Linked DNA regions of Tamandua tetradactyla. Each later gene encodes a partner of the first gene's protein in a complex. Links are inferred from orthologs where the notes say so. Each region holds a gene or a part of one and is shown on either strand. Other genes may lie near its edges.

Region 1 (3,751 bases):
TCTAGTGTGACCTCTCAATACAGATTTAACCAGTATCTTCAGGGCCAGACTAATACTTCATAATAAAGGATGCAACTGTTGGTACTTCCCTCTGCACTTTAAGCACCTATGTTAACTTGGGCCTTCTACGTGGAAAGATTTCCCCCTTCTCTTTGCCGGGGTTAACTGAAACTCACGCCTGAAGTTTCAGTTTAAACATTGCTTTCTCGACGGAAATTGTTCCTGTCTCCTGGCCTTTAATTAGATACTCCTGCCACATGCTCCAATGAACAGGTCACTTTCCATATCATAGTATTTTTCTCAGTGTTGTGCGTTGAATATCTTTCTTCCCCTATAGGATATACTGTGAGGGCAGAAATCTCATTTGTCTTGCTCAAAATTGTATCCTCAACACCCCATAGGCAGGGGACTTTTTTTTTCTAAATGTACGAATGAATTCAAAGGAGACAGTATTTTGTAAGTGGCTAAAAAGGCATCCCAGCAAGGTTCTTTCCTTTTCTTCCTCATTAACTCTTTCTGCAACTATTTCTTCTGTCTGTTCAATGGCTCTAATTTTCTTTTTATATAGGGATAGCGGTCTCTTCCCTCTATCCCAAATCCTTCAGATGCACGCGATCCTACCTTCACACCAAATGAAAAGTTTAAAAAACAAACCGTGAATCCGTCCCCATTTCTTTTTCTTCAAAGAAAAAAGCAAGATGTTTAGGAAGCCAATTAACATTTCTACGATTGCCTCAAGACAGAGCCATCACTCAGCCGACTACACTTTTCAAATAGTCTCAGATACAACCAACACTCCTTCCCCGGAAACGGAAATAGGCAAGGAAAGGCCCAGAGTCCTGCGCCTGCGGATTCGTTTTCCCCAGGTTTCACGAACAGCGTCAACTGGAACACTCCAACTGGTCGACAGAGCCGTCGCTCTCGGCAGTCTCCGCTTTTTACTGGCTGCTCGGGGCACCGCCCCTTGGGCAGGGCGGGAGATTCGGTGTGCTGCAGGTTGGACTTCCCATTCCCCGCCCGCCTCCGGGGCCCTTCTGAGTTTCTCAGCTCGTCCTGCTGGGGCTGTCGCTTTTTCCATGCCGAGACGCCACAGTTTGGCAACATCCAACGAGTTGTTTTGCGGGGCTGCCGGGCAGTCTGTCTCCCTCTTCTCCTAACCCTTGGCTCCTGAGGTGAGTCCAGGTGCTCCCAGCCTCAGCGGCCGTTTTGGGCACCCGGGTCCGTGGCGTTCATCTTCGGGCTTATTTTCGGCAGCCGGGGTAGGGCCGTTGCACCTCTTGCTCCCCCCTCCCGAGGTTGCCGCCCGGCCCCTACCACTTCGAGGTCCCCAGCGGAGCGCAACTGGCTGCTGAGCTGCGGGAGGCCCACGCCCAAGTCTCCCTATGTACTTGTTGCGGTGAGAGGTCCCCTCTGAGAAAGCTGTTAGTTCTTCTGTCTTGCCTCTCCAACTGTCTTGCCTTACGTGCAAAGGACCCCCAATAACAAGGTACCTGTTGCCGGGTTTAAGCAGTCTCCTGCTTGTGAAAGGAGAATACATGAAAATCTGTAACCAAAGTAAGCAAGCGCCCTGTGAGAGGAGCGGGTACGATGAAGGATGAGGAGGAAGAGACCATATATCCCAGAACTATCACTTGTAGCAAGAATTTTTTTATGTCTTCCCAGCCTGGAAGCCCCAAATGAATGCTGCTAACCGAACGGTCACTTTTGGGCGATGCATGGTTGTAAAATGTTGATAAAACAGGATCTTTTGGCAGAGCTTTTATTTTTCAAATTAAAAAGATGTTGATGCATTGCTTTTCATTTTACAGTTGAAATCAAATTAGACTAAAATTTCTTAATGGAACCGTTATAACATCCCTGAGGTAAATTGCAACCTGAGGAAACTAGCATAGTCCTAAACCTTAAATTCAGTTATTGGACACGGTAAATGGACACAATTCAGTTATTTATTGAACGCATTTTCTGTTATTAGATATTGAACAAGATATAGAGAAGTACAACATATGTGATTAAATTGAATTTTAAAGCAAAAATACCAATAATAACAAACGTTTTATTAAGCACTTTCCTATTCCAGGCACATGATCTCATTTAATCATCACAACTCCGTTCAAGATCACACAGCTGTAAGGTGTGGAATTGAGATTAGAACCGGGTTTATCTGATGTTAAAATTGTTGCTTAACCACTAGTCTGCATCATCTTCTTTTTAAGTATATATACATGGACAGGCACTGGGAAACGAACCCGGGTCCCCCCGCGTGGCAGGTGAGAACCCTGTCTGCTGAGCCACCGTGGCCCTATACATATATTTTTTAATGTAGTAAATCTTTTGCTCCCAAAGGAGTATGTTTTGCTGCTACCATTCACTTGGTGCTACTATACTATCTTGTACTTGCGTATTCATTTTTTCCCCCTAACTCAGAAAACTCCCAAGACAGTAAAATGGTTACTTAATATTTGCATTTGTTGTTGTTGGGTAGTGTTTTTCAGGAACTATTGATGATGGTAGAAATTTCTTCAGTTTGGTGATTCTGTACTGTTTAATATAATGCCTTAACATTTAGATAAGAAAATGTACATATACATGCATTCAGGTACAAACAAGACGGGGTTAGGTTACCTCTGTCCAGGTAATTGTTATTAAAAGAAAACTGCCTAGGACCATTATTTAACTGCCTAGAATATTTGCTTTAAAATTTTCCTTCAAAACCTCACCTCACCCCCAACACACACACAAGGAAGGAACTACTAAGCTTTTCTTAAAGAGAATTATGTAACTGACCTTTACTCCATTTTCCTTTGAGTCCCAGGAAGCTCAGAGACAAAAATCCTTGTACGATTTTTATTTTCTTCTTTTCATTGTTTTTTCTCTGGCCCAGATTCCCTATCAGTATTATAGTTTATCATTTGTTTTATTGCATTTCTTCATTGTCACTGCCTCAAATCCTTTGTCGAACACTGCAGTGTTTAAATAAAAATACAGTAGATTATGAATCTGTATAGATTCATAGAACTAGGTATGTTTAACCTAATTCTCAGGGAATTTATGGGAAACCATAGAGGTCTTTGGTTATTTCCTGCCATGTGGGAAAATGATTGGACATATTATGATTAGTTTCCAGAAGTCAAAACAATTGTTTGGAATAGCAGACTTTTAGTTAATGGCCAGGAGAGGTGTGTGGTATAATAAAGTCAGGGGCTTTGCAATCAGTCAAACCTCGGCCCTAACACACTTCCTAACCATGTAAATTTCGATAAGTAATTTAATATCTAATTCAGTTTACTCATCCATAATTGTGGAAATCATGTATATAATATATATAAAATCCCCCCTCAAAAAAATCTGTATTTTATGAGTTGGTAAATGTGAAAATGCCTAAGTGCCTGATATAGTACCTGACAAACAGCCCTTCAAAGAATTTGTTAGTTTATTTATACAAATAACATGTAGCTGCATTAAACTTTTTCTCTGATATATCAGGATTTCCTGTAATAGGAAGCTATATTATGACTAGAAAAATGGCCCTGAAGCATGTGCTTTTACTGGCAGTGGCCATATAAATTATAAGTACTATCTTTATATAAGAGTATAAACTTTGTAGAATTCTTGTGAGAATTAAATGAGAATACACATAGGGTACTCAAAACTGTCTAGTACATAGTTAAGTACTTAAATTTTGGCCTTTTCCCACCAGTCTAATATACTGATCTTCTTAGTCTATAAAGTTTCATGGCTAAAATGGTAATGA
Region 2 (3,751 bases), on another chromosome or scaffold:
TTCTGTTTGGAGTGATGAGAAAGTTTTGGAAATGGATGATTGTGAGGATAGCACAATGTTGTGAATATGATTAATTCAACTGAATTGTATGCTTGGGAGTGGTTGAGATGGAAAAGTTCATTTTGCAAATATGTTTCCACAATTTTAAAAGAAGGAAAGAGGGAGACTACAGCAGCAATAACAACTAAATGCACAACATGATCCTGGACTGGATCTAATAATGAAGGATAAAATGCTCCCCAAAAAACGTTATTGGGATATATGGAAAAACTGGAATATAGACTGTAAGCTTTATGTCAATGCTAAATTTGTTGAATTTGATAACTGAATGTACTTAAGGTGGTTACAGAAGTGAATATCCTTGTTTTGGAGAAACATACATGGAAGCACTAAGAGTTCAAGGATCATGATGTATACAACATACACACAAATGTTTAGAAAACAGATGGACAGATAGGTAGGTAGGTAGAATGATTTGGCAAATATGATAAAATGTTAAAAGTTGGTAGATGTGGGTGGGGGATATATGTTGGCGTTCTTAGCATGGGTTTTGTATTAATTTGGCAACTCTCTTGTAAGTTTAAATCATTTCAAAATAAAAAAGATTATTAAAAAAAAACACCTAAATGCTATTCTCAGTGACCATTCTCTCTCTCTTCTAAGCAGCTACAGAGTCTTTTGGACTGTACTTTTAAATCTCTCTGATTTAGCCCCTTCCCATATGCTGTAGTGGAAAGATCATGGACTTTGGAGTACCCAAACCTATGTTCAAGTCTGTGAGACTTAGGATAAGTTACTTAAGCTAGTTTTTCTTTTTACAAAACAAGAATAATATCTCTATTATACTACAACTAATGTTTAAATGGAATGATATATCTGTCTAGTAAGTGCCTGCCACATTATCAAACACTGAACTTTAATTTCCATTCCCTCTCATGTCTATTGCCATTGCTTTAGTTTAAGCTGTTACCATTACTGTTTGGAACTTTGCAATAGTCTCTTTAACAAATCAGATTGATTCCACTTTCCATGTTGTATCCAAGCTTTTCTAAGAGGTCATTTTCTTCACTGCCTTAAAACTCTTCATTGGCTCTTTGTGGCCTACCTACCTGGTAGGGTACAATCCTCCCAGCATACATTTGTACTCAGTCTGATCCTCCTGTCTCTCTCTAGGTTTATTCTTACAAAACGACTTGTAGTCCTGGTTATGGGATTGGTTATTTGTTTTGTTTTGTTTTGCTTAGTATTTCTTTTTTGGTCTCACAGGTGAACTCCTATTTTTATAGGCTCAGCTTCCAGGTTCCTTATCCTGGGAAACTTCCCTAAAGCTCCCCAGGCAGTAAGCTTTTTTTTCCTAGGTCAGCAATTATTTATTGACTGCTTATTAATTGCTAGGCATTACAGTATACATTGTAAATAGAACTGTGAAGAAGGCAGTTTCCTGTCCTCATAAAGTATTTATAGGCGGAGACTAACACTTTAGATAATTATATTATGATTTTTTTTTTTAGTACTGCGGTCATCTTCCCGGAAGGCGACCGCTTGGGGACACTCTCTGACTGCTATGGGTGAGTACCCGAGCTCGGGGATGGGATCTAAGGCGGCGCCGAGGCTCAGCAGCAAGCTGCTGAGGGCCCCAAAGACTTGAGCCGAATACCAATTGATGGCACAAAGCTTCTTTATTGTTACATTGCAAGAGCTTAAGTGCTCGGGGACTCAAGATCTAAGAAGGACCCCGAGGCTTGGTGAGCCCCGGATTATATACAGTGTAAGGGAGGGTGGAGTGGAGACGTGGACCTCAGGGGAGGGTAACCAATCACACAAGTTTAGAAGTAGTTACTAGGCTTTGGGCAGAAGTTAGGTTAGGGATAGAGTTTGAATATAACAGGAAAGGTTTGTGGTTTTGTGGTGGGCTACGGAAATGGGCGGTCTACGACAAGAGGGGGAGAGGACAGTAAGTTAGACTGCAGGTATGGAGAGAATGTAAAGAAAAATATTTTTTTTAACTTTTTAAAGATGGCTAGGCTCTAATTCCCATAAATATGCCACAAGTACAAATAAAGAAGTTTGTAGGGTTATGAGAATGTATAACCCATCTTGGAAGGATAGTTTAAATAAAAATAATATGGTCACAGGTATTGGGAGTTGCTCTGAGCAGCCCTCTCTGAGAGATACTGCAGGGTAAAAACTGTGAAAGAATGGGACTTTCCAAGAGAAAGGAATAGTCCCAATCAATCTGCAATTTTTGCAACATTTAATGATTAGTTGGTCTCATGGGGATAGTGTAAAAAAATGGACACGTATGCTATATTAATCAATGTATATCTACTTCCTGCTTTATTAGACCCTCCCATGTGATGAAAAAGGTGTCAACCAATTATTGTAACCTCCCACTTGGAAATCTCCTACTAACCTTTATAAGCTGCTAAAACCTGCTTGTCATATTGAGATTTTCACTCTAACTTTCCCAGTTACAGATCTTCCGCTCCAGCACTCTTTCAGTAAACTCGCACCCTTGATTGTGCTGGTTACTGTTTGACAGTGGAGTGTAAAAGCTAGCTTCTCTCAGGAAAAGACATTGTAAGATTTTATGGGTCGTCCCAGGGTACCCTTCAGAGCTATTAAAATATTTAGGGAACTGGATTTGAATAGATGCTTCAAAAATATATATTTGGACTAGCTAATAATTCTAGGAGACCATAATTACAAAAGATCCTTTCAGCCATTACAAACATAAGATTCTGATTATAACATGTACAATTTAAATCTAAGTACACCAAGCACTAAGTACAACAATTCTTCATCCTAGCAATGACCTGGTTATTATTATCCCTATTTTATAGATAAGGAATTCGAGGTTCAAAATGAATGGTTCAGTGATTATTCTAAGGTCTCACGTTGGTAAGCAGTTGAGTTTGCGGTACCAAATCAGGGGTTTCAGGACTCCCAAGTCTTTTTTTCACCACGCAATTCGGCCTACTTATATCTTCCTATTCCCAGAATCTTCTAGTGTCTTGTTTCTAGTAGGTGTTCCACGAATACATACATGTGAAAGCCCTATGCGAAAGGTGGCATTACTGTTACCCCTGCCGCCCTCACCAGCACACACATCCCCTCCTCGGCAGTGAGATATTTCTGGATGTGGTGTCAGGTTTGCACGAAGAATGGCAATTCCAAGTTATTTATTCAACCCCATTACACTAGTTTCTGCACAGAACGCAACCAATTTTCCACACCCATGACAGTATAATTCCATCTTTTGAGAATATTGATCATCCCGAGTCCACCTTCCCGCAGCGGCCGCGCCCTAGTCCTAATGGACTCCGTCCGCCTTCCCTTCCTTCGTGGGGTTCTACATTTCGGACCTCCAAGTAGGAAATCGGATGCACGGGCTCGCACGTTCTCGGGAACCTACAGGGTCCGCTTAGTTCCTTCCTCCCTTCTCTTTCGTCCATTCCTGCAGCGTCTCCCAGTACCTTTCTCAAAGCACGCCCGCTGACCAGAAACCCGAAAGCCCAACAGCTCCGACGCCAGAGGTGGGCGTGTCCGCGCCTCTCCGCTTACGCACTGACGTCACTCAGACGCATGGCTGCGCCGGCCTCCCCGCGCCTTAACGGGTCCGATTTCCGGCGGGAGTGAGGACCGCCAGGCTGAGGTGAGGCTGTCGCTGCTGGCGCGGGTTCGACTGGAGCCGTAGTGTCCACTCCGGTGGTGTCCACCAGAATGCCTCACTTGGAAAACATGGTTCTGT

Evidence for each region.
Region 2: the proteins of ORC2 (region 1) and ORC5 are in contact, whole or in part, in a cryo-EM structure (PDB 7JPO), measured with the Homo sapiens proteins. The link is inferred for Tamandua tetradactyla from reciprocal best matches to the Homo sapiens genes ORC2 and ORC5. Residues at the interface, in NP_006181.1 of Homo sapiens: Val240, Glu241, Tyr243, Phe244, Glu245, Ser248, Asp396, Gln398, Arg401, Gly402, Glu403, His426, Asn428, Ala429, Pro430, Leu431, Met432, Trp433, Asp434, His435, Gln438, Trp445; in NP_002544.1 of Homo sapiens: Asp324, Lys325, Phe328, Leu329, Leu359, Asp360, Arg361, Ala364, Tyr367, Ser368, Ala378, Asn379, Phe381, Ser382, Gln383, Thr385, Ser386, Thr389, Asp400, Gln401, Leu402, Asp403, Tyr407.

The regions. Positions count from the first base shown.
Region 1 is NC_135329.1:175,430,984-175,434,734, reverse strand, and holds the start of ORC2 (origin recognition complex subunit 2), read left to right. Parts: upstream 1-955; 5' UTR 956-1,172; intron 1,173-3,751. UniProt on the Homo sapiens protein: Component of the origin recognition complex (ORC) that binds origins of replication. DNA-binding is ATP-dependent. The specific DNA sequences that define origins of replication have not been identified yet.
Region 2 is NC_135327.1:142,471,957-142,475,707, reverse strand, and holds the start of ORC5 (origin recognition complex subunit 5), read left to right. Parts: upstream 1-1,551; 5' UTR 1,552-1,568; intron 1,569-3,463; 5' UTR 3,464-3,723; coding exon 3,724-3,751. UniProt on the Homo sapiens protein: Component of the origin recognition complex (ORC) that binds origins of replication. DNA-binding is ATP-dependent. The specific DNA sequences that define origins of replication have not been identified yet.